Alligator mississippiensis: one gene and its partners. The protein of the gene in region 1 purifies or fractionates together with the protein of each later gene. This does not show direct contact. Links are inferred from orthologs where the notes say so. Each region holds a gene or a part of one and is shown in the gene's direction. Other genes may lie near its edges.

Region 1 (7,496 bases):
CAGCATCAATTTCCTGGTGATTATTGACAGCAGTCTGGGAGATCTGATATTGCAAAGGGGTTGAACAGTACAATTAATGACATGACATCATGTTGGGGGGGGGAAAATCTCCTGGAATAGCTTTGGTCAGAGTTGGCAACCCTAGTCCTAGGTGGGAGTGAGGGTCAGTATGGTCAGGGCTTGCCCTAGAAATGATACCCCTCCTTTCCCTGCCCTGCCCCCTTCTTCTGACCCCACCCCAGAACCATGAGTTTGCAGCAGAGCGGGGGGTGTCGCCAGGGGCACGGTCAGGGAGGAGCCTGTCGCTGTCCTCGAGTGGGGCCCCATCTCCGGGTGGATCCTGTTGCCCCCGGCGACCACGCCACCGCCCCCTCCGCCTTGGTTCCACCCCATCAGGCAGCCGGGCCATTGCCCAGGAGCTCAGCACCCTGCAGGGCCTCAAGGGGCCAGCTCACAGGTACTGCATGTGCTTGGACTATTCACAGGGTGTGCTTGGCATATTCGCGGTGTGTTTGGTGTGTTCTTGGGGTATGCCATGGTATGGCTGGTGTGTTCCCAACATGTTTGTGGCATGGGCTTGGTGTGTTCTCTCAGTGCACCTGGCATTGGGGTTAGCATGTTTCTAGCATGCTCATGGCATGTTCCCAGCGTGTGGTTGGCATATTCATGGTGTGTTCATGGCATGTGTGCAGCATGCTTGCAGTGTGGGTTTGGCATGTTCCTGGCATGCTCATGGTGTACTTGCACCAGCAGGTGGCATATTTAGAGTATGGACTTGGTGTGGGCTTGGCATGTTTCCAGTGTGGGGCCTAGTTTTTTTCCCTGCATGTGCTTGATGACTTTCTGGTATGTGCTTGGGATGCTCAAGTGTTCCTGGTTCCAGGTGTGAGCACAGCCTATTTTCTTGCATGTGCTCTATGTATTTCGTGTGTTTGTACCATGTTCACAGCACATGCTTACCATGATCCCAAAATGTTTTTGGTGTGCAGTTGATGTGTGCATGGCACTGGCTCAACATGGGTCTGGCATGTTCTCAGTTTTGTGTCCTGTGTTCCGGGCACTTCTGTGGCATGTACTTCATGTATATACTGCATGGCTCAGGCGTGTTTGCAGCCTATGTCTATCAGTTTTGTGTTGGGAAACACTGGGTTCTGCTGCCATCCAGTGGGCAGCCATTGAAACTTTGGGGGAGGGTGGAGCTGGGAGCCCAGACGCTTGGGTTCATGCCCCCCACCCCTCCCTCTAGCCGGTCCAGCCTGAATGCGACACCAGCACCGGATACCCTGAAGCTGAGCTACGAGGCAGCAGCACTGGCAGCAGCCATCATCAGCATCCCCACACCCCCTGCCAACACCCCTGATGAGAGCCCCCCCCCGGCACCCCGGCCCCCTCCCCTGCACATCTCTTCCCTCTGAGGGGAGTCCCTGAACACCTGGGTTCTTTGCGTCAAGACACCTGGGTTCCATTGGCCTGGATTCCACCTATCCTGGACACCTGGGTTCTTCACATCCTGGATGCCCAGGCCCTACCCAACCCAACCCAGATGCCTGGGTTCCATCTATCCCAGCCGCCTGGGTTCTGCTGGTCCCGGATGCCTAGGTTCTGCCCGTCCCAGGTGTCTGTATTCTGCCCAGCCTGGACCCTGTTCTGCCTAGCCCAGATGTCTTGGTTCTTCATGTCCCAGATGCCTGGGTTCCGTCCGTCCCAGATGCCTGTATTCTACCCAGTCCAGATGCCTTAGTTCTGCCTTCCTGGATGCCACGGTCCTGTCTTCTCCAGACACCTGGGATCCTCCTGTCCTGGACACTTGAGTTCTTCCTGTTCCAGAAGCCAGAGTCCCTGGACACATGGGTTCGTCCTGCTTAGGGGCATGTCCTGTACCAAATGCCTGTGCTTGTATCCCAAATGCCTCAGTTCTTCGTGTCCTGGATACCTGGAATCCCACCTGCTTAGGAGCATAGCCTGTACCAAACACCTGTGTTCTTCTTGCCTCGGACACCTGGATCCCTCCAGCTTGGGGTGCCTGAGTTCTTCCTCTCCTGGATGCCTGGGTTCCTCCCAGCCAGGGAGCAGCTTTACCCAGACATCTGGGTTCTTCTTGTGTGGGGCAGGCAGGAGGTGTGTGCTGCAACCTTAACCCAGATGTCTGAGTTCCCATGGGTCTGGAAAGGAAAGGCAGGGGGAGGGGCATGGCCCTCTGCCTCACCTGCTACTCTTTAGACCAGCCCCCTTCACAAGCAAAGCCATATATCAGGGTCAGCTATGCAAGCCTGGGGAGGGAGGAACTATTTCCCAAGGCGCAAGGACATGGGCCACTCCTGGAACTCATTAACCAAAAGCCATGGGAGCCTGGGGGGAGAAGGGGCCTGGTGCCTGGGTTCTGTCACCAGCTATGGGAACCTGCAATGCCTGGATACTCTCCTTCAGGATACCTGGGTCCTTCTTCAGGCCCCCCCACACCTGCACACATCATGGTGCCCCCATCTACTATGCTCACAGCAGGACTGTGCATGTGTCCATGTTGCCACCAGGGGGGTGCTTCCTTCCCAGCATGCACTAGGGGGAGAACCCCACCCCCTACCCCCCATATCCACCTCACCTCACAGGTCATCCTTCTCCTAGGGGTCATGACTCCTCCAGAGACCAGAAGCTGAGCTCAGACCATAAACCGTGACCCCTCCCCCTACTAGTGCAACAGCAGGGGAGGGCAGAGGCCTGAATGCCTGGGTTCCCTTCCCCAGGTTTCCTGGGGCATGGGGGTCTAGGGGCCCAGATGCCTAGGTTCTAGCCTGGCTTAGGGAGGAGTTGGGGCAAGGGTGGGAGGGCTGAGGCCCCAGACACCTGTGTCAAGCCCAGACTGGCTGTGGTAGGGTAGGGGGCAGCACCAATGGAGGGGAGGGACTGGGACCCTGCCCCCTTCTCAAAATACTCTATAGCACAATGCAGCTGCCTCCGTGGCCACTGGGGGTGGGCAGAGATTCTGCCCCCACCTGCACCCCTGTCTGGAATCTGTCCTCAGGCTGGCTGGGAGCTGGAGGCCCAAGGGAGGGGCCTCCTGGAGCCAGAGAGGCCTGGACACCTGGGTCCTTTCTAGACTCGGAAGCCCGGGTTGTTTTTGTTTTTTTTTTTGAGTCAGAGGAACCTGGAGGCCTGGGCTCTCTGCCCACTCTGGAAGTGGGGCGGGGGCGCTACAAGCCTGGAGACCTGGGCTCTTTCCCTGCTCAGGAAGGGGAGTCCAACAGGAGGCGCCTCCCTCCTGTATGCTTGGGTCCTGTCGCCAGCTCTGACAATGTAAGTTCAACTCAGGTTCCCCTTCGGTTTTTTTTTCCTGTTAGACATTTAAAAAATAAGAAAATTCTATACATATAGAGACAGGTATTATATACAGATACATAAAAGCCTGGCTCAGGGAGGGGTGGGGCAACGGATCATTAACACCTCCATGCCTGGAGCTGGGGGTGGGGTCAGGATGGGGGGGTGCCTTCCCTGCCCGTTGCCAAGGAATGAGGCTTATGCTGCTGTAGTTTGAGCAAATAAATGAACTGGTGACATGTCACAGCTCAGTCATTATTTGCAGGGCAGGGGGTGGGACCTGGGACGCCTGGGTTCTCTGGCAGGGGAGTTGGAGCGGGTAAGAAGTGAAGAAAAGGGGCAGGGCCTGCTTCTAAGTGACAGCCGTCTGATCCAATCAGGGGGCCAATATGCTCCCCACCTCACCCCCGCGAATACAAACCCCACATCCCTGCGCGCTCGTCTTGAAGCCCGGGCATTGTGTGTCTGATTGGCAATTTGCTCCCATCCAGTCAGATGAGGACTTGCCCTCTGGTCCAATCAGAGCGCAGAATGTTCTTGTCCAACGAATCATAAACCGGTGTTCTGCCCCTCAGTTAATCGCGTCCAGGTTTCTTTCCCTAGCTAATCAGCTGCGAGCATCTTGTTTCCAACCCTCCCTCACATGCGAGGCGGAATTTCCCTTAAACCCATTCAAGCCAATCAGTGATTACGCTTGTTTCCCCCTGGCTAATCAGGGCCTAAGCGTCCCTCCAGCCAACCGGAGGTTAGTCCCCCTTTTTCCCAAGCCAATAAGATTTGGCTCTTCTGCCTCTCAGCCAATCACATGCATGTCCGGGGCCTTTTAGCTAATGAGCATAGGCGACCTTACGCCGTGACCAATCAGTGAGCGCATGTCAAGGAGGGTCACCCAAGTCCCGCCGACCCCGGTTGTTGTCATGGGAAGTGGGAGGGGGAACGAGAGGATAGGGGGAGGGACACGGCTCTGACTGTGGCGCTCTCCCCCCAATCCCAAACGCGTTCCTCCAAGCCCATCGACCAATGACAGCGGAGCTGTGGGCCGGTAGCCAATAAGCGGTGGCGCTGTTACCCAGGCGCGTCGGGGTCTCGTCCCTTTTGACGTTCCGTTGCTAAGGGGCGTAGGGGCGGAAGTGAACGCGCCGGGGTCAGAGGCCGGTTGTGTTGATGTTGACACTAGGCCGGGGCCGAGCGCAAAGGGCCCGCCGCGGAAGCCGGGAAGGGCCAAAAACCTTCCATAGACCCCAGGAACGGGGGAGGGTTGCGGGGAGGGGGCGTTGGTTGCTTGCTTGCTTGCTGCCTTCCTTATCGGTCTGCTTTAGGCTAATTGCCCTGCTGTCTTGCACCCCCCCCCGGGCCGCCGCGGGGGTTGGGGAATACGACGGAGACTGGGGTCTCGGGGAGCGCTTCCCCCCCTTATCCAGTTCTGCGCCCCTCCCCCTCCTTGGGGAGGGAGGCGTTCCTTAGCCCTTTCAGCCGGATCCCCCAGGGGGGTGCCCCCTTAGCCTCGTACATCCGGGTTCTGCTCCCCCCTTAGCCCCTGACATCAGGGGACCCCCCCCTTAGCCCCCTCCATCCGGGTCTCTCGGCCCCCGAGCTCTGAGTCCTTCCCTTCTCTAGTCACCCCCTGACATCCGGGGATCTCCCCTTAGCCCCTGACATCCGGGTCCTTCCGCTCCGCTCACCTCTGGCATCCGGGGATCCCCCCTTAGCCCCCTACATCCGGGTCTCCCCCCCATTAACCCCTTCTCCCGGCTCCCCTTAGCTTTTCCATCCGGGTCCTTGCCCCCCTGTAGCCCTTAGCCCCCTACATCCGGGTCCTCCCCCCCCTCCCCCACCCCACCCCCCTTCCCAGCCCAGCGGCGGCAGCGGGCGGGCCATGACGATCCTCCCCAAGAAGAAGCCGGGGGGCGACGCCGACCCTCCAGGCTCCCGCGTGGGGGGGGCAGGAGACCCCCGCGTTGGGGGGCCCCCCAGCCCGGACCCCCGCGTGGGGGCGGGAGGGGGAGCGGCAGGCAGCTCCGGGGTGGGGGGGGGCAGTGACCCCCGGCCGGGAGGGAGCCCGGACCCCCGCGTGGGCTCGGCAGGGGGCGGGGCCTCCCCTCCCCCCCCAGCCCCTCCCCCGCCCCGCTGCTGGGGGGCACCGTCCCCTCCCCCCACCACCGGCGCCCCCGAGGCCAAGGCCGGGTTGGGTCTGGATGACCCCCGGGCGGGCGGCGGAGGCGTGGGGGGCGGATGCTGCGCGGGGCCCGGCCACAGTAAGAGGCGGCGGCGGGGGGGCTTGGGCTTGGCTTACGGGCCCGGCGGCGCCTCCGGGGGGGGATCTGGGCCAGCAGGGCTGGGCCTGGGCCTGGGGCTAGGGTTAGGGCTAGGGCTGGGGGCCGGCGATGGGGATGAGGCAGGCGGCGGCTACAACAGTGAGGACGAGTACGACCCTCCCCGCGGCGGGGGGGGGGCCGGGGGCGGCCCCCCAGGGGACAGCGGGGATCCAGCTGCGGCTGAGCAGGTGGGTAGGGGGGTCTGTGGGGGTGTGGAGGGAGGTGAACCCCTGTGGGGAAGGGAGATGTGCGGGGGTCTGGGGAGGGGAGAGATGGGGGGGGTCTCTGGTGTGAGGGGGTTCGCCTGTATGATTTGGGGTGTGGGAGGAGAGAAATGGAGGTTGTGATGTGTGGAAAGGGGAGAGATTGGGGGGGCACCCACTTCCCCATATGATGAGTGGGGCTGTGATCTGTGGGAGGGGGGCATCAGGTGAGGGGAAAGATTGGGGGGGGGGGTCTCTGGAGTAAAGGGACCCCCTGTGTACTGTCAGGGAAGGGGGTCTGTGGTGGGGGAGGGGAGAGATTGGGTGATCTCTGGGGTAGGGAAGGCCCTATGTGATTTGGGGGAGGGCTGTGATGTGGGGGGAAAGGGGAGATATTTGGGGGGCTCGGGTGAGAACAGTCCCCTGCCCCCATGTGATTTGGGAGAAGCTGTGATCTGGGGGAGGGGGGTTTCCAGTGAAGGGAACACCCCATGTACAATATGGGGGAATGGAGGGTTCTTGGACTGGGGCAGGGAAGAGATTGAGGGAAACTCTGGGGGAGGGGACCCCATATTCCTCCATGTGATATTGCAGGGGCTGTGTTGGGGTGGGGGGTTGTCTCTGGGGGAAGGGGAGGCATGGGGGGGGTCTCTGGGTTGGCTGGGACCCCTGTGTGGTGTGGGGGAGGGGAGGAGAGGGTAGGGGGGCGGTCTCTGGGGTTAGGGGGCAACTCCAGTGTGAGAGGACCCTGCCCCTGTATGATCTTGGGGTGGGGGGAGAGGGGAGGAGTGGGGGCCCCTGTGTGACCTGGAGGAAAAAGGAGGGGTCTCTGGGGTGAAGTAGCCCCTGTGTGATCTGGGAGGAGCAGAGATGGAGGAGGGGCAGCTGAGGTATAGCTGCCCCCCATGCCTGGGTTCTGTGTGAATGTTGATGCTGGACACCTGGGTTCTGAGACTGGGGGTGCCTGGACACCAGGGTTTCATGCGTGTGCCAGGGTTAGGGAGGAGCCCCTGGGTTCAGTGTCTATGCAGGTGGGGGTGCTGGATGCTGGGTATCTGCATTGGTGTTGATGCTGGACAAAGGGAGGTGGGCCCCAGACTCTGGACTCCCTGTGTGCTTGAGTCTCTCACTGGGACCCTGGTGGGGTATATGGGGGTGTGAGCCACAGAAGGGAAGAGCTTGGCAGCCTTGTGGGGGTGGTGTCCAGGGGGCAGGTCTTGGGGCTTGGCCAGTTGCTGACTCCACCCTTCTTGCCTCCAGCAGGAGCACAGGTTTGAGAAGGCATTGAGAGAAAAGAAAGGCTTCATTATCAAGCAGATGAAGGAAGATGGGGCCTGTCTCTTCCGGGCTGTGGGTGAGTGGCTTCTACCCTGCATCTGCACCCCAGGCCCTTATCTGCTTCCCCCTGTCCGACCCCCTGGCAGAGTTGTGGGGCTAGAAACCAAGCAGTGTTATACTTAGCTATTTCTCAACTGCCCAACCCCAGAGCTGGGCACATATCACCTTCCTTGTGTCCTTTTATATGCAGCCATTTCTAAACTGCTTCACACCAGAATTGGGTGCATCTTGGCCCTCCCTCTATGGTGTTTGACCCCAGGGGTGGCTGCATCTTGCCCTCCTTGTGTCCTGCTCTACCCAGGAGTTAGGCACATCTGGGCTCTTCCTT
Region 2 (7,986 bases), on another chromosome or scaffold:
AGGGGGGGGAACTGGCATTGCAGCAGGTTGTAAAATTTGGCAAATATGGGTTATTTTAGATGAAGGGAGAGGATGTTCCAAAATTCTGGGCTCTGTAAGGAGAACAGGCTGCAACTTCCTCTTATAAACCTGAGACTCCAGCTTCAGGATTTCCAGTCCCTACATATATGAGGTCATTTCCTGGAGTGAGGCGCAGCTTGTTTGAATAAGCAAGTTTCAAATGAGTTAAATGTACAGTCAAATCTTCTTAAACTCCATTGAAAAAATATGAAACAGATAGTGCAGATCCTAGAGCATAACTGACTTTGTGCTCTTGATGAGAAACTCTACTAATCAAAGCTGCACTGGTTTCAGTTTCTGAGTTGACTTTAAGGTGTAGCCCTGTGCACAGTACTTTACTGTAATCTAATCTAAGGTGAAAAAGGCACGGATCATATTTGTAACGTTTACTTCTGAAAGAAAGAGTCGCATCTACTTAGCCTGACAGAGATAAAAGAAACTCATCCTGGTCACTGGTGCCATCTGATAGTGTAACAGCAGCTGAGAATCTAACAGAACCCCCGTTCCTCAGACTGGAATAACAAATGATGAATACATGTCCTTAGCAAAAGGAGATAAAATCCTCCTCATATCTTTTGGCTGCATTTTCATTATCAACATAACTTCCTATTTACCTGGACCCTGACTCACTAATTAGTCCTCTTCTATAGATCAGTCTCTACAAAACACTAACTAGTTTAGATGATAAAAAAAGAGCTGGAGCTTTGTCTTAGTAACATGCCGAGCAATCTCATACCTATCTGTTCCATATGCTTGTTGGATTTATAAGCATTATCTTGACAACATGTTGATGTGAAAGTTGGTGATTAAAACACATAATTTTAGAAAGTGCTGCTATAAGTTAGTACTACATCTGCTTTAAAACTGCTTTTTAAATGTAATAATCTGATCTTGAACAAAATATTCAAAACAAGTGGTTTTCAACCTATGGCCCATGGACCCCTGGGGGTCTGCAGACTATGTCTAAGGGGTCCATGAAAGATGATTATGTTCAATCAAAAGTATGTGAATACCCACATTTACAGTTCAAAGGGGTCCGCACCTCCATTCATAATATGTTAGGGGTCCACAAATGAAAAAAGGTTGAAAACCAGTGATCTACATATATATGTATACAGCTTCATAGTACAGAGAGCACAGAGGAAAAAAAGGGGAAAAGGAAGTATTTGAAATCTTATGACAGTGTATATTTCTGAACTCTGAATGGTTTAAAATGTTCAGTGTTTGTGTATAAGTAAACTTCACCATGAAGAAATCTGAAACAATTGTGATACTAAATAATAACAAAAGAGTTTCTTAAATGCCAAATCAGCCCATCAGTGCTGTTGGCATCACTGTAATAAAACACATATTCCCTAGTTCTTTTAGAAGACTATTGATAAAGTGTTACATGTTTTCTTGAAGAGATCTTCAACAGTATAATTGTTTCCACAGTATTTCTCTCATATGCTGTCTGAAATCATCAGCAGATTATCTGTGTTTCTCTAAAGCCAGCAGCTTTGGATCTAGTTCTGGCATCACTACATCAAGTGCATGTTGCAGACACACCACCTGTTTGAACTTAAAACTGCAGATTCTTAATTTATGTATAAGACACCCTAATACTAGAGTGATGAGGCACTGATATATGTAGATAAAACTGGTCTTAAACTAGTTTAATTAAAAAGAAAGAAATTTGGTCTAGCTAAAATGAACTGAAAAGCTCCCAGGAGCAGATCCAAAGGGGCCCAGTTGCACTTCGTTTTCCAACCACACAGTGGGAGCAGCAGCCAGGGATTCTTTTTTAAAATCCTCAAATTGGGTAATAATTGCTCTCCTGCCCTCCACTTCATGTTCAGTGGGATGTCACCTCCTCCCCCACACCCCTGGCTGCTTACCACTAGTGCTATCCCCAGGTGCCCCAGGAGCAGGGGGAAATTCCAGAGCCTTTGCTGTCCCACTTTAGCCAGGCTGCCCAGGGAATTGGGCTCAGTTCAGGACAGTGGCAGTGGTGGTACCAGATGAGTACCTCTTCTCTGCCTAGGACTCCCACGTGTACTCTGCCAGCTTGGGAGCAGGCTTATGGAGGCAGACCCTACCTGCCATCACTGCTGCTGCTATCCCTGGCTAAGCCCAACTCCCTGCAGAGCCCAGCTGCAGCAGGGCAGGAGAGGCTCTGGAGCTCCTTCCTTCCCTGGGACAGCTGGATAGTGGGGACAGTGGCAGCAGGGGGCAGGGGAGAGGAAATGCCACTGAGCATGGAGGGAAGATTCTTACCTGATTTCAACACTTAAAAATGTGTTCCTATGGCATGGACTACCTGTCCTGCTGGAGTAGGGGAGAATTTGAGAGCTGGGGTACAGCTAGTAGTTGCTGCTCCTGTACCCTCCCCCCACTTTACAAAATTCAGGATCTGCCCCATGGAAGCTCCTCACATCATATGCAAGGGCACCAGTGGACTGGACAAAATGGAGATGGAACTATAATCCAAGTTCCTCTTCCCAGGTGAGTGCCTTAACCATCTGGGTAGAGCCATGCTCTCTCTTTGGCCCAATGCATGTTGAATTATTTTATTTAAAGTACAATAGTTGCAAGAGGATAAATGGAGGTTTCAGTCCCCCTAGGTTCATCTAAATTTCCCACTTTTTGCATGAGCCTGAATTGTGCACGAGGGGAGCAGCAGCATTCATCCCCCATTCCCCACACGTGCATTAAAAAAAAAAGTACCTGCCCCTTCACTTGTAAAGCCTCTTAGGAACGCTTTGAAAACATCTACTAAGAGATAGGCAGAAATCCAAGGCTATCTGGATGTAGTATACCAGTAACTCTGCTCATGCAGTGCCTGGAATAATTAACAGAGGTCTAAAAACAAAGCTAGTTACCTCAGGTGCAATGCTGCATGGACATGGCTATATTGCTTCTAGTCTGGGAGCTAGCATGCAAAAGCCGCTGTTATCCCTACATAATGGTTGGACCCATGTAGCTGTACTCTTGGGCTGCTTGCAGATGTTTTAAAAAAAACCCCAAAACTGCTTCCCCAGAAGCAGCAGCATGTTACTTCCACCCAGCTCTGCAGCATCTGTATAGATTAGGCACTTCAGCGGGGCTTTTTCGTGCTTTCATCTAAAGCTAAGTCAATCAGGTAGTAGATGAAAGTGCCCCAAAAGCCCCACTAAAGCACCTGATCTATACAGATGTTGGGTGAGCCAGGTCCAACTAATGTGCTGCCTCTTTTGGACATGTGCTGGGCTTTGTGCAGGAGCCCATCGGGTTTAAAGCAAGGTGCAAGTGGCCCTGGTTTCTAGATCTCCCATATGCTCAGGTGAGGCAGGTGCTAAGTTACTCAGCCCTGTTAAGATAGAAGCACTTTGGGGTATGGTCAGTAACAGAACTTGAGAAGTGAAGGACTTCAATGTACAACTTACAGGACAGGTGCTTGTAGGACTAGGCAGCAGCTGAGTGTGATTTATAGAACTGCACTTTTGGTGGAAATCACATTATTTACTCAAATCCAAAACCGTGAATTGAAGATGACCCCCACAATAATTAGAGTCTATACATGGCAGAGCAGGGAGTAAGGAATCAGGCAGTAGAGAAAGCAGGTGTTGTGGGGGTGGTGGAAGGGAGCAAGCAGCTTGTCCCCCACCACCTGTCCTCCCCCTATTTCAACCCCTGTGCTTGGCCCTTACTCCCTCTTACCTCCCCAGCCCCTTCCCCTCCTACTTACCTTTGCTCCAGCCCTGGCAGGCTCTGTCCATGCTGCAGCCTGGGGCCTGGAGCATGGGGTGCAGGTGGGGTACTGGTGCCACAGGGCTGGGTCGGAGCCATGCTCCAAGCCACAGCAGGAGATGGTGGCAGGGGTGCAGAAGAGCAGAGAGTGCAGAGGGGCAGCACCGGTCAGAGCCAGACACCCAGCCCTCTCCTGCCCTGCTCGGTTCCAAGACGAGGGGCTCCCCCATGCAAGGGGAGGACATCTCGTCTTGGGCCCGAGGCAGTGGGGTCGGTGCCCGAGGGCTGTCCTGGCTTTCAGCCGCCTGGCAGCTCAGCACAGCACTACCCTTATCGGTCCAGAAAGGCTGGAGAGGAACAGCTGGCGGGAGCGATCGGCAGGGAGGAGCTGCAGGGCAGCAGGTCAAGCGCTCCGGCCGGGCGGGGCGGGGCAGGGCCGGGCCGGGCCGGGCCCAGCGCCTCACGCCGCCTCCTCCTCTCGTCCCCGCAGGGCGCGGACGGCAGCTGCTTCCCGGGCCACGACCGGCTGAGCTTCGCCTACATCAGTGTGGACCCGCGGCGGCGACACGTGCACGTGCTGTCCCACTGCGCCGGGGCCGCCTCGCCCGCCCGCTGACTCCGCGCGGGCCCGGCCACAATAAACCTCCTCTCTTCGCCTCGCCTCCGTCTCCGTCTGTCCCCGCGGCCGGCCGCTCCCGCACCACCCGGGAGCCCCAGCCCGAGCCGGTCCCTGTGCAGGCCCCCCACCCCCGGCGCGTCACGCGGGTCCCGCCGGGCACCGCCCCCCGCTCCCGCCCCGCCCCCGAGGCCGAAAGTTTGCTGCAAAGTTTTCTCGCTCGTTTAATTTTGCGTTGCACGGACGTCCCGGCAGCGCCGGCCCGCGTGGGCGGGCGGGCGGGCAGGCGGGCTGGGTGGGTGAGTGAGTGAGAGGGGCGGGCCGAAGTCCGGGGACGCGGGCGGGCCGGGTGTGCGGGACAGCGAGCGGGCGCGCCGTGTCGAGCGGGGCAAGACGGAGGGGCAGCGCCTGGCGGGGCTGGGCCGGGCTGGGCGGGGCGGGACCCGGCGCGGGCGGGCGCGGACAGGGGAGGGGGCGGGGCGGGTGCGTCTCAGAACTTTTGTTTGGCCTCTTGCGCGACTTAGTTTCCGCCGCCGCCGGGACGGAGGCGCCGGCCGGGCTGGGCTGGGCCGGGCCGGGCTCGCGGGGCGGCCAGAAGCGGGAGCCCCGGCGGGCGCGGGCTCGGAGCCGCTGCAGCAGCAGCAGCCATGGATCCGGGACAGGCGCCCTCACAGCAGCAGCAGCCGCCCTCGCAGGCGCAGCCCCCGGCGCAGCCGCCGCCGCAGCCCGCCGGGGCTGGGGCCGGGGCCGGGACGGGCGCGGCGCAGCCCCCGGGCGCGGGGCCGCCGCCGGCCGGACACCAGATCGTGCACGTGCGGGGCGACTCGGAGACCGACCTGGAGGCGCTGTTCAACGCCGTCATGAACCCCAAGGGTGCCAACGTGCCGCACACGCTGCCCATGCGGCTCCGCAAGCTGCCCGACTCCTTCTTCAAGCCGCCCGAGCCCAAGGCCCACTCCCGCCAGGTGAGGCTCCCGCCCAGCCCCTCCGCGGCGCCCCCGGGGAGCCCGGCTTTGGGCCCGGGTCGAAGCAGCCCGGGGGCTGCCCCCGCTGCGGGGAGGAGGCGCGCTGCCAGGCTGGGACGTGGCCCGGTGCCATGTCCCAGCCCCGCTGTCGCAGCTGTGCCAGTGGAAGAGGGCTCCCCGCCTGCGGCGCAGTAGCTAGGGTCTTCCTGCTCGCTCGCGCACACAGCAGAAGTTTTGGAGGGCTTGACTCTCCTGCCCACGCTGGCAGTAATAGCCTTCCTGGTCCCTTTGTGGCAAGGTGGGGACTAGATTTCAAGTGGACGGGGATTTCGGCCCCTGATGCCTATAAGGAACCAGGGGTGCAGCTCACTTTTTTTTTTTGGATTTGCTCCTTGCAAGATGCGTGTCAAATGCTACCGAATCAAAATGGTCGTTTATGCTCTGTTGGGAACCATGATGCAACGCTCAGGGCAGTGGTGCATCAGGCATGACAGCGGGGGAGATGGGATCCTGCTCAGAAAACTGTAAGGCTTTTTGTTTGTGCGTTCAAAGTTTACAACAACAAAAGGTAGACGAGAAAGGTTGATAATTTATATTCCCCATGTCCTGGCAACAGCTTAAAGCTTGCTTTGACTTTGTTTAACTTGCTTTGAGCGACGAGCTAACAGCATTGAAACAAGTCAGAAGTTTGAAAACAACTTCTTATACCCGAGTCTCTCGCAGACAATTCAGTAAGGTCAAAGTAGGTGTGTTTCTGCTGAAGTATCTTAATGGGAACTGTTTACTCCCAACAGGCCAGCACTGATGCAGGTTCAGCCGGAGCCTTGACTCCTCAGCATGTCCGAGCTCATTCATCTCCAGCTTCGCTGCAGCTGGGAGCTGTCTCTCCGGGGACCCTTACCCCCTCTGGAGTAGTGACTGGTCCTGGACCTGCCTCATCTTCTCAACATCTCCGTCAGTCCTCATTTGAGATCCCCGATGATGTTCCTCTGCCACCAGGTTGGGAAATGGCTAAGACACCATCTGGCCAGAGATACTTTCTTAAGTAAGTAAAATAGAGTTATAAAAAACAAGGTTACATTTTTTAACGAAGCTCACTGTCCATGTTTAAGAACCTTTGTGTATATAAGAATATGTGCCCCTTTAATATATCAAATACATTTAAAAACTATGGGTCATGATTTTCAGTAGTATAGCTCTTTATCTGATTTGAACTGGGGGTGTAGATGTTGAACCCTGAAAGTTATGCCTAGGTGTGAGAAACATGCCTCATTCTTGGCATGTCTCATCTTGGATTAGTTATTTTTGGGCGTGTTTTTAAGTCTGTTGTAACATATAGTAACTTTAATACTTGGAGTACAATAAAGCAAGGTCATTTAAAGGTATACTTTGGGTCAGTATTTGGAAAATTGCTGAAAATGGATATCAAAGATTAAGAAACTTTCAGCAGTATTGCAGTGAGAATACTGGATGACTGCTGATTACTTTTTTTTTTCTTTGGAAGTACAGTGTCAGGTTCCTATGAAGTCTTATTGGTACATGAACCTGATGGGGCCTGTAGTTCTTAAAACTAACTTTGGAATGAAAGGTGAATGTTGGAATTCTTAAATGTTTTTTGTTTTCACTACTTTGGCTTTTTAAAGTAGTGAAATTAATATAACTTTTTCTCTTGCTGAAGAGGTTACACATGCCAGCACTCTGACATGTCATCCATCAGGAGATGCTCTGTAGAGTTTTCTAAAACAGCAGAAGCCTGTCCTCCTTTTTGCAAGTGTGTGCACAACTCTCGTTCAATCACTAGGTTTCAAGTAACATATTATTTGTCACTTCAGATTTGAAGGGACGGAACCACTAGCATTAAAAAAAAATTATATTCTTACTACCTTGCTAGTCTAAAAAGTGTTCTAAACTTTTTTGTGGTTCCATTTGCTGAAATAAAATATCCAAGCCTGAAATTATATTCGCAGAAGACCTTAATATCTGTGGCTGGGACATGCTTTCCATGTAACTGCACTATGGCTCAGAATGAAATAGGGACCTAATTCAATGCCCATAGAAGAAGCCCCCTTGAAGATTTACCATTGTTTCCTATGAAGCACAAAGTTTGTTCTTATGAAATATTTTGCCTAATTTCACTGTTAGAATTAGGCAGTTTTATGCCAGTTGAGAATGTGACCCACTGGACCTTGAAGAGCAAAACATAGTTTTCATATAATTCCAAAACTTGTATATTATGCTCGTTATACTCTTAACTAGCTTAAATAGAACACGACAAAGATGGTATTTAAAAAAAAAAAATGCTCTATCTGTAGTGCTAATTATTATTTGCATTTAGATCGATGCTTTAAATTTTATAGAGGGAGCATTACAGTTGTTGTGGTAGACGAAAAGAAATCCTTGCACTCCTATAATTGATTCTTTAATTATGCTCATTTAGGTGAAAGCAGAGGGAAGGATTTGATCTTGGAAAGCTTTTCTACAGTTTCGCTATTATTACAGAAAATCTTCCTTTTTTCCTGCAAGTTTTCTTTTTTGTCTGTCTTGGTGTCTTGGTATCCATTTCAAAGAGTCAGGTTTCAGCAAGAACAATAAAGAGCCTGAGACTGGAAAGTACACACAAGTCTGGCAAACTCATCT
Region 3 (6,956 bases), on another chromosome or scaffold:
GGCATTTCACATCCCAGTGCTGTGCCCTGTGGGGAGGGGGAGGGCTTTCATAAACAGGAAAGGATATGCCTCCATGATCCTGCAAGCTGTGGTGGACCACCAGGGCTGGCTCTCAAACATTTATACTGGGTGGGCTGGCAGCACGCATGATGTATGTGTGTTCAGAAACTCCCCTCTGCCTGGCCTCGTGGAGAAAGGACACTACGCACCTGGCGTGGAGGAGACAGTGATCCGTGGTGTTGCTGTTCCCCGGTTGTATTAGCAGATGCTGCCTACTCCCTAAAGCCCTGGCTCATGAAGCCTTATGGAGGGAATGTCACCAACATGCAGAAGCTGATTTTTTAACTACCACCTGAGCAGTTGCAGGATGGCCGTGCAATGTGCGTTTGGCTGACTGAAAGGACGACGGAGGGCGCTTATGTGCCAGCTCAAGATGGAGCCAGAAAATATCATGGCCTTTGTAGTGGCAGTCTGCATGCTACACAGTATCTGAGAGCCATGGAGATTTTCAAGGAGTCGCGGGAAGAAGCAGCGCAACAGGCAGTGGCCAGACAACAGAGACGTGTCCAGGCTGCAGCAGCACAGGGACTGAGGAGAAATCCTCAAGGAGAGGCTGGTTGGGTGTCCCTTGTGCATGATTGTCTGGCGGGATATATTACTGACAACAACACCTAAGAGCGCTTTGTTCTTTCTCTTGGTTATGTTAAAATAAATTGATTTGCACTTTAAATCTGTGTCTGTAGACAAGGGCGTGCGGTGTTGCGGACGGGGGGGTTAGAGGGGAGGACGGTCAGGGGAAGGGGTAGGAAATGTGGACTGGGCTAGGGGTTTGCTGCTTCCAGCCTGTAAGTGGTTTGTGGGGGGGGCATTACACACTATCACCTACATCTGAAAAAGCCCCCCCCACCATGTGGGCAAGAAGGTTAACTATAGCTTTTGGTGGGCTAGGTGGGTGGGGGACGAAGCTGAACAGCAACCCACATTTTCAAAAACATTTATAAAACATTTCATAACACACCCCCAAAAGCCATGTGACACTACACAAACAGACTGACGGTGGTACTGGGCAGGGAACTGGAAGGTTTCAATGGGAGCCCCCACTGAAAACTGCATGAAGATCAGTGAGCTCGGGATGCTGGGAAATGTAGTCCAAAAACACCAGAACAACAACAACAATAAACCACAGAAGAGCTCGCCTGCTCACTGCCACCACCAGCATCATCGACAGCAATTGCCAGTCAATTAGGCAGCAACAAACACCCACCCACCCACTACTCTGAACCCTGAACATTTGGTGGTATTATAGCAGCTATAAAGTAAATAAAAGAAAAAGCACATGTATTTGTAACATGGTGGGATGGGAAGGGAAAGGAACAGGATGGGAGGATTCACAAGGCTTATTTTTGGAATGGGGATTGTGATGGGGGTCTTTGGGGTCGCATACTGACGGAGAGAGACTAGACCGACCGACCGAGCATAGGTGGATGCAAGTAACAAGGTTTTTGGGGTGACTGTGCCCGGGGGAGACTCCCAGTGAGAGGCCAGGGGCGGGGACAGGGGAAGCAGGCTTACATGTGCCTCCTGCTGTAATACATTAGGAAAGACATTGGGGGTGGGGGTATATTGGTATTTGACCTCCCCCTACTGAATCTGCAGGCAATGACACAGGAGACTTAAGTCACTCAAAAGCGCCATGTCGTGCAAACACAAACGCACCGCACCAAAACAAAGCCGGGTTAAAATTTTCAGGTGCGCTCAACATTAATCCCTGTTTCATCTACACATGCCCCTAGACACTCATGGCCATTTTATTACATAAAGTCCTCCCACCAGAACACAGCATACAGACCCCTTAAATAAGGCTCGTGACAAGGAGCGCATTTTTTCTATTGCTCTCTCAACTGTCCCACAATCTGCCCTCCCTTTCCCTAGTCTCCCTTCATGCTCTTGCCAGCATCCTCGCCTGAAGGACAAGAAGTCCTGCCAAGGGCTGGTAGAGGAAGACAGCAGGAACAGTGGGAAAATGGAGCAGTAGGAAAGAGCTGGAGGAAAATGACAAGTATTACTGGGTTGCGACAGGTGAAGCAAGCATAGGAATGGATTTTCCCAGGGTGGAGCAAGCTGTAGAGATCTCAGTGAGAAGAGGAAAATAGAAGATGATTCAGATACACAGCAGGATAATGGGACATCCCTCAAGCACTCTGAAATGTGTGTTGAGTAAAAAAAAAAAAAGGCAGGGGGGGCAGCAGAGAATGAAAGAGATAATCAAGCTGCACGATCCAACAGGGACGGGCTTTCTAAAATTCAGTTTCTGATACTGAAGGCAAGATGAAAGCAGGAAATGGTGCTATAGGAATGTGTGCGAACTTCTACCTTCAGCCTCTCAGGCATTCTTGCTGACAGTCACAGCAATTATCGTTTGAGCATTTACTTATGCTCAGCATTGTGCAAAAGCAGAGGAAATATGGCGCCTGCCCTTCCACATCCAGATTTCTACAAGCAGAATATCTATGCTCTAGAAATGACAAGAGACCACTGATTCGCTTCACAAAGCTTACTGAACAGAAGTGAGAAATCACCTATTTCAGTCCTGTCGACCCAAAGACAGCAGGGAGGGCTAAAAAGCAGTCCAATATGCATTCAGCATATATACTTGTACCAGATGTGCTCTTGCAAGGTGCTCAACCATTTTTACTAGCTACTGAGCCTGCTTTATTTCAGCTGTCTCCACATAAGGGCACACAATCTGCTGCTGAATTGGGTATTAAGCATCTCTGTTTTGGGGTCCTACTTTGTAATAGCTAGGCTTTGGGCCTCTCCCAGCCCTCAATTCTGGAAGGCTGTTTATTTACATATATATTATCTTCTGGATGGCCCTTCTTTTAGGAAGAAAGTAAATGCTGGGAATATCAAACTACTTCAGATTACAAAGCCATAACGGCATCCAGCTAAAATAAAATGTCATAATCTACAATGTTTTATCTTTACTTGTATGCATGTCACTCACCTTAGGGCAATCGCAATCGGTTTCGCATTTCTGTTCTTATGGTGTTTGCCTACAGTGGTGAACCCCCACCGTGTTTTCCAATGGAACTAGTTTCACCTTGAACTATTCCTCCGCTCAGTGCTGGGGGGGGCTCATTTGCCATCTTTCAAACCGAGCGGGCAGGTTGTGCAACGATATAAAAGGAAGTCTGTGATTGAATTAACTGAGCCCCGGAAATCCGGCCTTTCTTTCCTCAGGAATACTTGGTGCACACAAAGGCTCCCCGGGGAGCTATGTTAGCCACCGCCCAGCAGGTGTATCTGCGGGGTTTTTCTCCCCTAACGAGGTACAAAACGTACCTCGTTACCGGTCCCGCATAAAGTCACGGCTCTGCTAATGCACGGCTGTGCAGGGCGGCATCCCAAGTTTCCTTGCATGGAGCGCTTCTACCGCCAGCCCGAGAGCGGTGGCGCCTTGAAACTTGCAACTCTGGCATTTTGCCTCATTTCTGCATCGCCCCGCCCGTGTTTCAGGTGCTTCGTTTGGAAACAAGGTTAAACCAGGAAATACATCACACAACCCGCGGCGCGGGGCGGCAAAACTCCCAGCATGCACCACACCCCCACCACCCCACTCGGCCACGGCGCCCGCTGGGAGTCGTAGTCCGCCAAGCGGCCGCAGCGCACGCTGGGGGCTGTAGCCGGGCGGCCCGAGTCGGCGGGGTGAAGCGAGGTCAGAGGCTGCCATTGGCTCCCGCTCCCGCGCTCCGCCCCCTCCCGCCCCCGGCTACCCGGCAACGAGGGGACGAAGCTTCCGGGGCGGGGCCTCCCCGGCTACAAAAGGCTCCGGATGCCGAGCCTTGTTTGGAACTTTCCAGAAAAGTCGGGAGGCCGCGGGAGCCGCCGGAGCCAGCGCCGCCAGTCAGCCAGGTAGGGCGCTGCTGCTGCCGCCCCGGGGTGGGGGTTGGGGGGCGCAGCCTTGGGGCCCACGCGGCGCTGTCGGCCCTTTGACCCCGGGGTTGCTGGGACAGGCGCGGCGCGGCGCGGGAGGTGCTGCGCGGCTGACGGAGGCGGCTCGCGCAGGTCGCCGTTCACGATGGTGAAAGAAACGACGTACTACGATGTGCTCGGCGTGAAGCCCAGCGCGTCCCAGGAGGAGCTGAAGAAGGCCTACCGCAAGCTGGCGTTGAAGTACCACCCCGACAAAAACCCCAACGAGGGCGAGAAGGTAGCGACGTGGGGGGGAGGGGAGAGGTGGGAGCCTCGCCTCGCCTCGCCTCGCCTCGCCTCGTCTCTCTTCTCTTCCCACTTTCTCTTTATGAGAGGTGCCTGCAGGGCTTCCCTGTGGGTGCTTTTGCTCGGGTCCCTGATCCAGGAATGCAGCAGAAGCACCAGGCCTCTTCCCAGCTTGGGTTTCTGGTTGTGGCTGTGCCTGAGCACAGCGGGAACGGGGGGTGGGGAAAGTTCCCCTGTAAAGGCTGGCTCGGTTGAAGTTTGTTCACCAGCTCCAAATGGGCTGCTGTTTTAAAGCTAATAATTGTTGGTGTTAAAGGGATTGGGGGGGGGGAAATGTCTGGTTTTGTCACATCTCCTTGTGGATTTAGTTAATGTGCTGGCTTCTGTTGCAGTTCAAACAGATTTCTCAAGCATATGAAGTTCTTTCTGATCCCAAGAAAAGAGACTTATATGACAAAGGAGGCGAGCAGGCCATTAAAGAGGGTGGTTCTGGCTGTAGCTTTGGGTCCCCCATGGATATATTTGACATGTTCTTTGGAGGAGGTGGAAGAATGCAAAGAGAGAGGCGAGGTATGCAACCTTTTTGTCATGTTGGGTACACTGGCAGTCGAGCATATACCGGACCCTCCCTGAATACAGTTGAGAGAGATCATACTTGCTTCTGTTAGAGTTCAAGAAAAGACAAAGATGGAGTGGCTACACTTTTTAATAACTAAATGGTGCCAATTTTCCTATGCTGGTGCTTGAAAACAAGAAAACTATCACAGTAATCTAAAGCTTATTTTCTGAATGTTTAGTGTATAATGAGTTATAATACTAACTTTGTATGAATAGTAATAGGTAGGTGTCACAAGACATCAGTGGTGTCATTGTCTAAAACTTGAGGTTTGAAGATTAAGCTAACTGTATGTGCCAAACTTTTCTAAAGAACATAAATACTCTTCTGGGTCGGAACAGGTCCGTCTAAGGCAGTGGTGCTCAACCTCCAGCTTGGGTGGTGGGGCATGTCTTGCATGGGGCTCCCTGGAGGCCTGAAAATCTTGTGGGGAGGTAGGGGAAACATTAATTGCTGCTGCTCTGGATTAAGTTACAGCACTTTAATACAGCCACAGCTGCCATACTTCCAACTTCTAGTCTTAAACCTGTGGAGTGCCCTGCAGGTCGGGTGACATGCCCCCATGCACTAGATCTAGTGTGTGGGGCTGGGCTGGCATAACTGCAGCCTGACCCTCCTTTGGATCTAGCCTAGGGACTGATTCCATGCATCGGATCCAGCTGGCAGGACTAGAATATAGAGTACCACTGACCTAGGATGGTATCCTTGTTTTGTAGCAGAGTAGCAAGAAAAAACTTATGTAGGGCCTCTTGGACTGATCTGTCTCCCTTCCCTCTTCCCTTAGAGCTTCCAGTATTTAGAGGTTTGGAAGTTATAGTTTGAGGTGGTTATTTCATCGTATTTATAATGCACTAAATTGTCTAGTTCTTAATTTAGCCTAAGCTTTTTTAAGTGATTTAACAGATTAATGTTATTTAACTAGAACACATCTTTATATAATTCTTCCTTACGGGGGGTGGGTGGGGGGGTGTGTGTGTGTGTGTGTGTGTGTGTGTGTGTGTGCGCGCGCGCACATGCACCAAGGTGTGACTAGTACAAAAAACAGTACAGCCATAGACTCCAAATTTCATGTTACATGAAGTAAGAAGTTGCTGCTTTTTCTCCACCATGTTGAATGGTGGGGGGAAATGTTAGCATAGGACCATTATCTTTTATTGTTAGTACTTTAATAGTGCTATGTTATGAGTCCTATGCTTGCTTGCTTTTTTATGTATTCTAATATAATAAAAGCCTTAGTCTGTCTGTAATGCTGTATCTGCACTCTTGACTGGCTGCTGAGACAACCAATCACAATACTGAGGGAAACAACCAATCAGAGTGCTCCAAGAGTGTTCCAGACAGGAGGCAGTGCATGGCAGAGTGCTGCCATGATGGCAGAGTGCTGCCATGATGGCAGAGATGGAGCCTTGCTCCCTGGAGGCAGCATGGGATGGTGGAGCAAGCTCCCTCCCTCCCCTCCTATCCCCCACCCTGCCTGCTTTGTCCCTATACCCTGTCATTCCTGATGGGCAGTTGGCTTGTGTTAAAGTATTTTCCTTTAGTAAATGTGCTATGTTCTGAAGAATTGGGTCTTAGTTGATTTCAGTTGAGAAATAAGAGAACAAAATCTGATTAGCATGGAATTACAAAGTCTGGAATAATGAGTGTGTTTTTTACAGGTAAAAATGTTGTTCATCAGTTGTCAGTAAGTTTAGAGGACTTGTACAATGGGGCAACAAGAAAACTGGCTCTGCAAAAGAATGTGATTTGTGACAAATGTGAAGGTAAGTTTTCTGTACTACAGTCTAGAACTCCAGGGAACTTGTTAACTGAATTCCACTAACTCATTTTTTGTTTATCTTTACAAAAAATTATGTTCAGGTGAAAACAGTTGTTTTCAATAAACTAAATAAGTGTACTTTTGATATGTTTTATTTGGAGTTCATTTCAGTTGTCAAATCCTTTCATTCTGCTGTCTTGTTATCAGGTCGAGGTGGTAAGAAAGGTGCAGTGGAATGCTGTCCCAACTGCAGAGGTACAGGCATGCAAATAAGAATTCACCAGATAGGACCAGGAATGGTTCAGCAAATCCAGTCGGTCTGTATGGAGTGTCAGGGCCATGGGGAGCGTATCAGTCCAA

The links. Proteins that work in one complex are often made in the same cells at the same time.
Region 2: the proteins of OTUD5 (region 1) and YAP1 purify together in Homo sapiens (affinity purification with western blotting; 3 studies listed by BioGRID). This does not show direct contact. The link is inferred for Alligator mississippiensis from reciprocal best matches to the Homo sapiens genes OTUD5 and YAP1.
Region 3: the proteins of OTUD5 (region 1) and DNAJA1 purify together in Homo sapiens (affinity purification with mass spectrometry, with the first as the bait; 3 studies listed by BioGRID). This does not show direct contact. The link is inferred for Alligator mississippiensis from reciprocal best matches to the Homo sapiens genes OTUD5 and DNAJA1.

What each region holds. Positions count from the first base shown.
Region 1 is NC_081831.1:28,453,105-28,460,600, reverse strand, and holds the start of OTUD5 (OTU domain-containing protein 5), read left to right. Parts: upstream 1-4,464; 5' UTR 4,465-5,188; coding exon 5,189-5,815; intron 5,816-7,090; coding exon 7,091-7,184; intron 7,185-7,496. Other genes in the region: KCND1 (potassium voltage-gated channel subfamily D member 1), read left to right, coding at 243-457, 1,247-1,415. UniProt on the Homo sapiens protein: Deubiquitinating enzyme that functions as a negative regulator of the innate immune system. Has peptidase activity towards 'Lys-48'- and 'Lys-63'-linked polyubiquitin chains. Can also cleave 'Lys-11'-linked ubiquitin chains (in vitro).
Region 2 is NC_081824.1:441,911,191-441,919,176, reverse strand, and holds the start of YAP1 (transcriptional coactivator YAP1), read left to right. Parts: upstream 1-4,900; 5' UTR 4,901-5,031; coding exon 5,032-5,349; intron 5,350-6,143; coding exon 6,144-6,394; intron 6,395-7,986. Other genes in the region: CFAP300 (cilia- and flagella-associated protein 300), read left to right, coding at 4,259-4,384. UniProt on the Homo sapiens protein: Transcriptional regulator with dual roles as a coactivator and corepressor. Critical downstream regulatory target in the Hippo signaling pathway, crucial for organ size control and tumor suppression by restricting proliferation and promoting apoptosis.
Region 3 is NC_081826.1:152,767,800-152,774,755, reverse strand, and holds the start of DNAJA1 (dnaJ homolog subfamily A member 1), read left to right. Parts: upstream 1-3,870; 5' UTR 3,871-3,915; intron 3,916-4,068; 5' UTR 4,069-4,081; coding exon 4,082-4,213; intron 4,214-4,613; coding exon 4,614-4,791; intron 4,792-6,495; coding exon 6,496-6,600; intron 6,601-6,803; coding exon 6,804-6,956.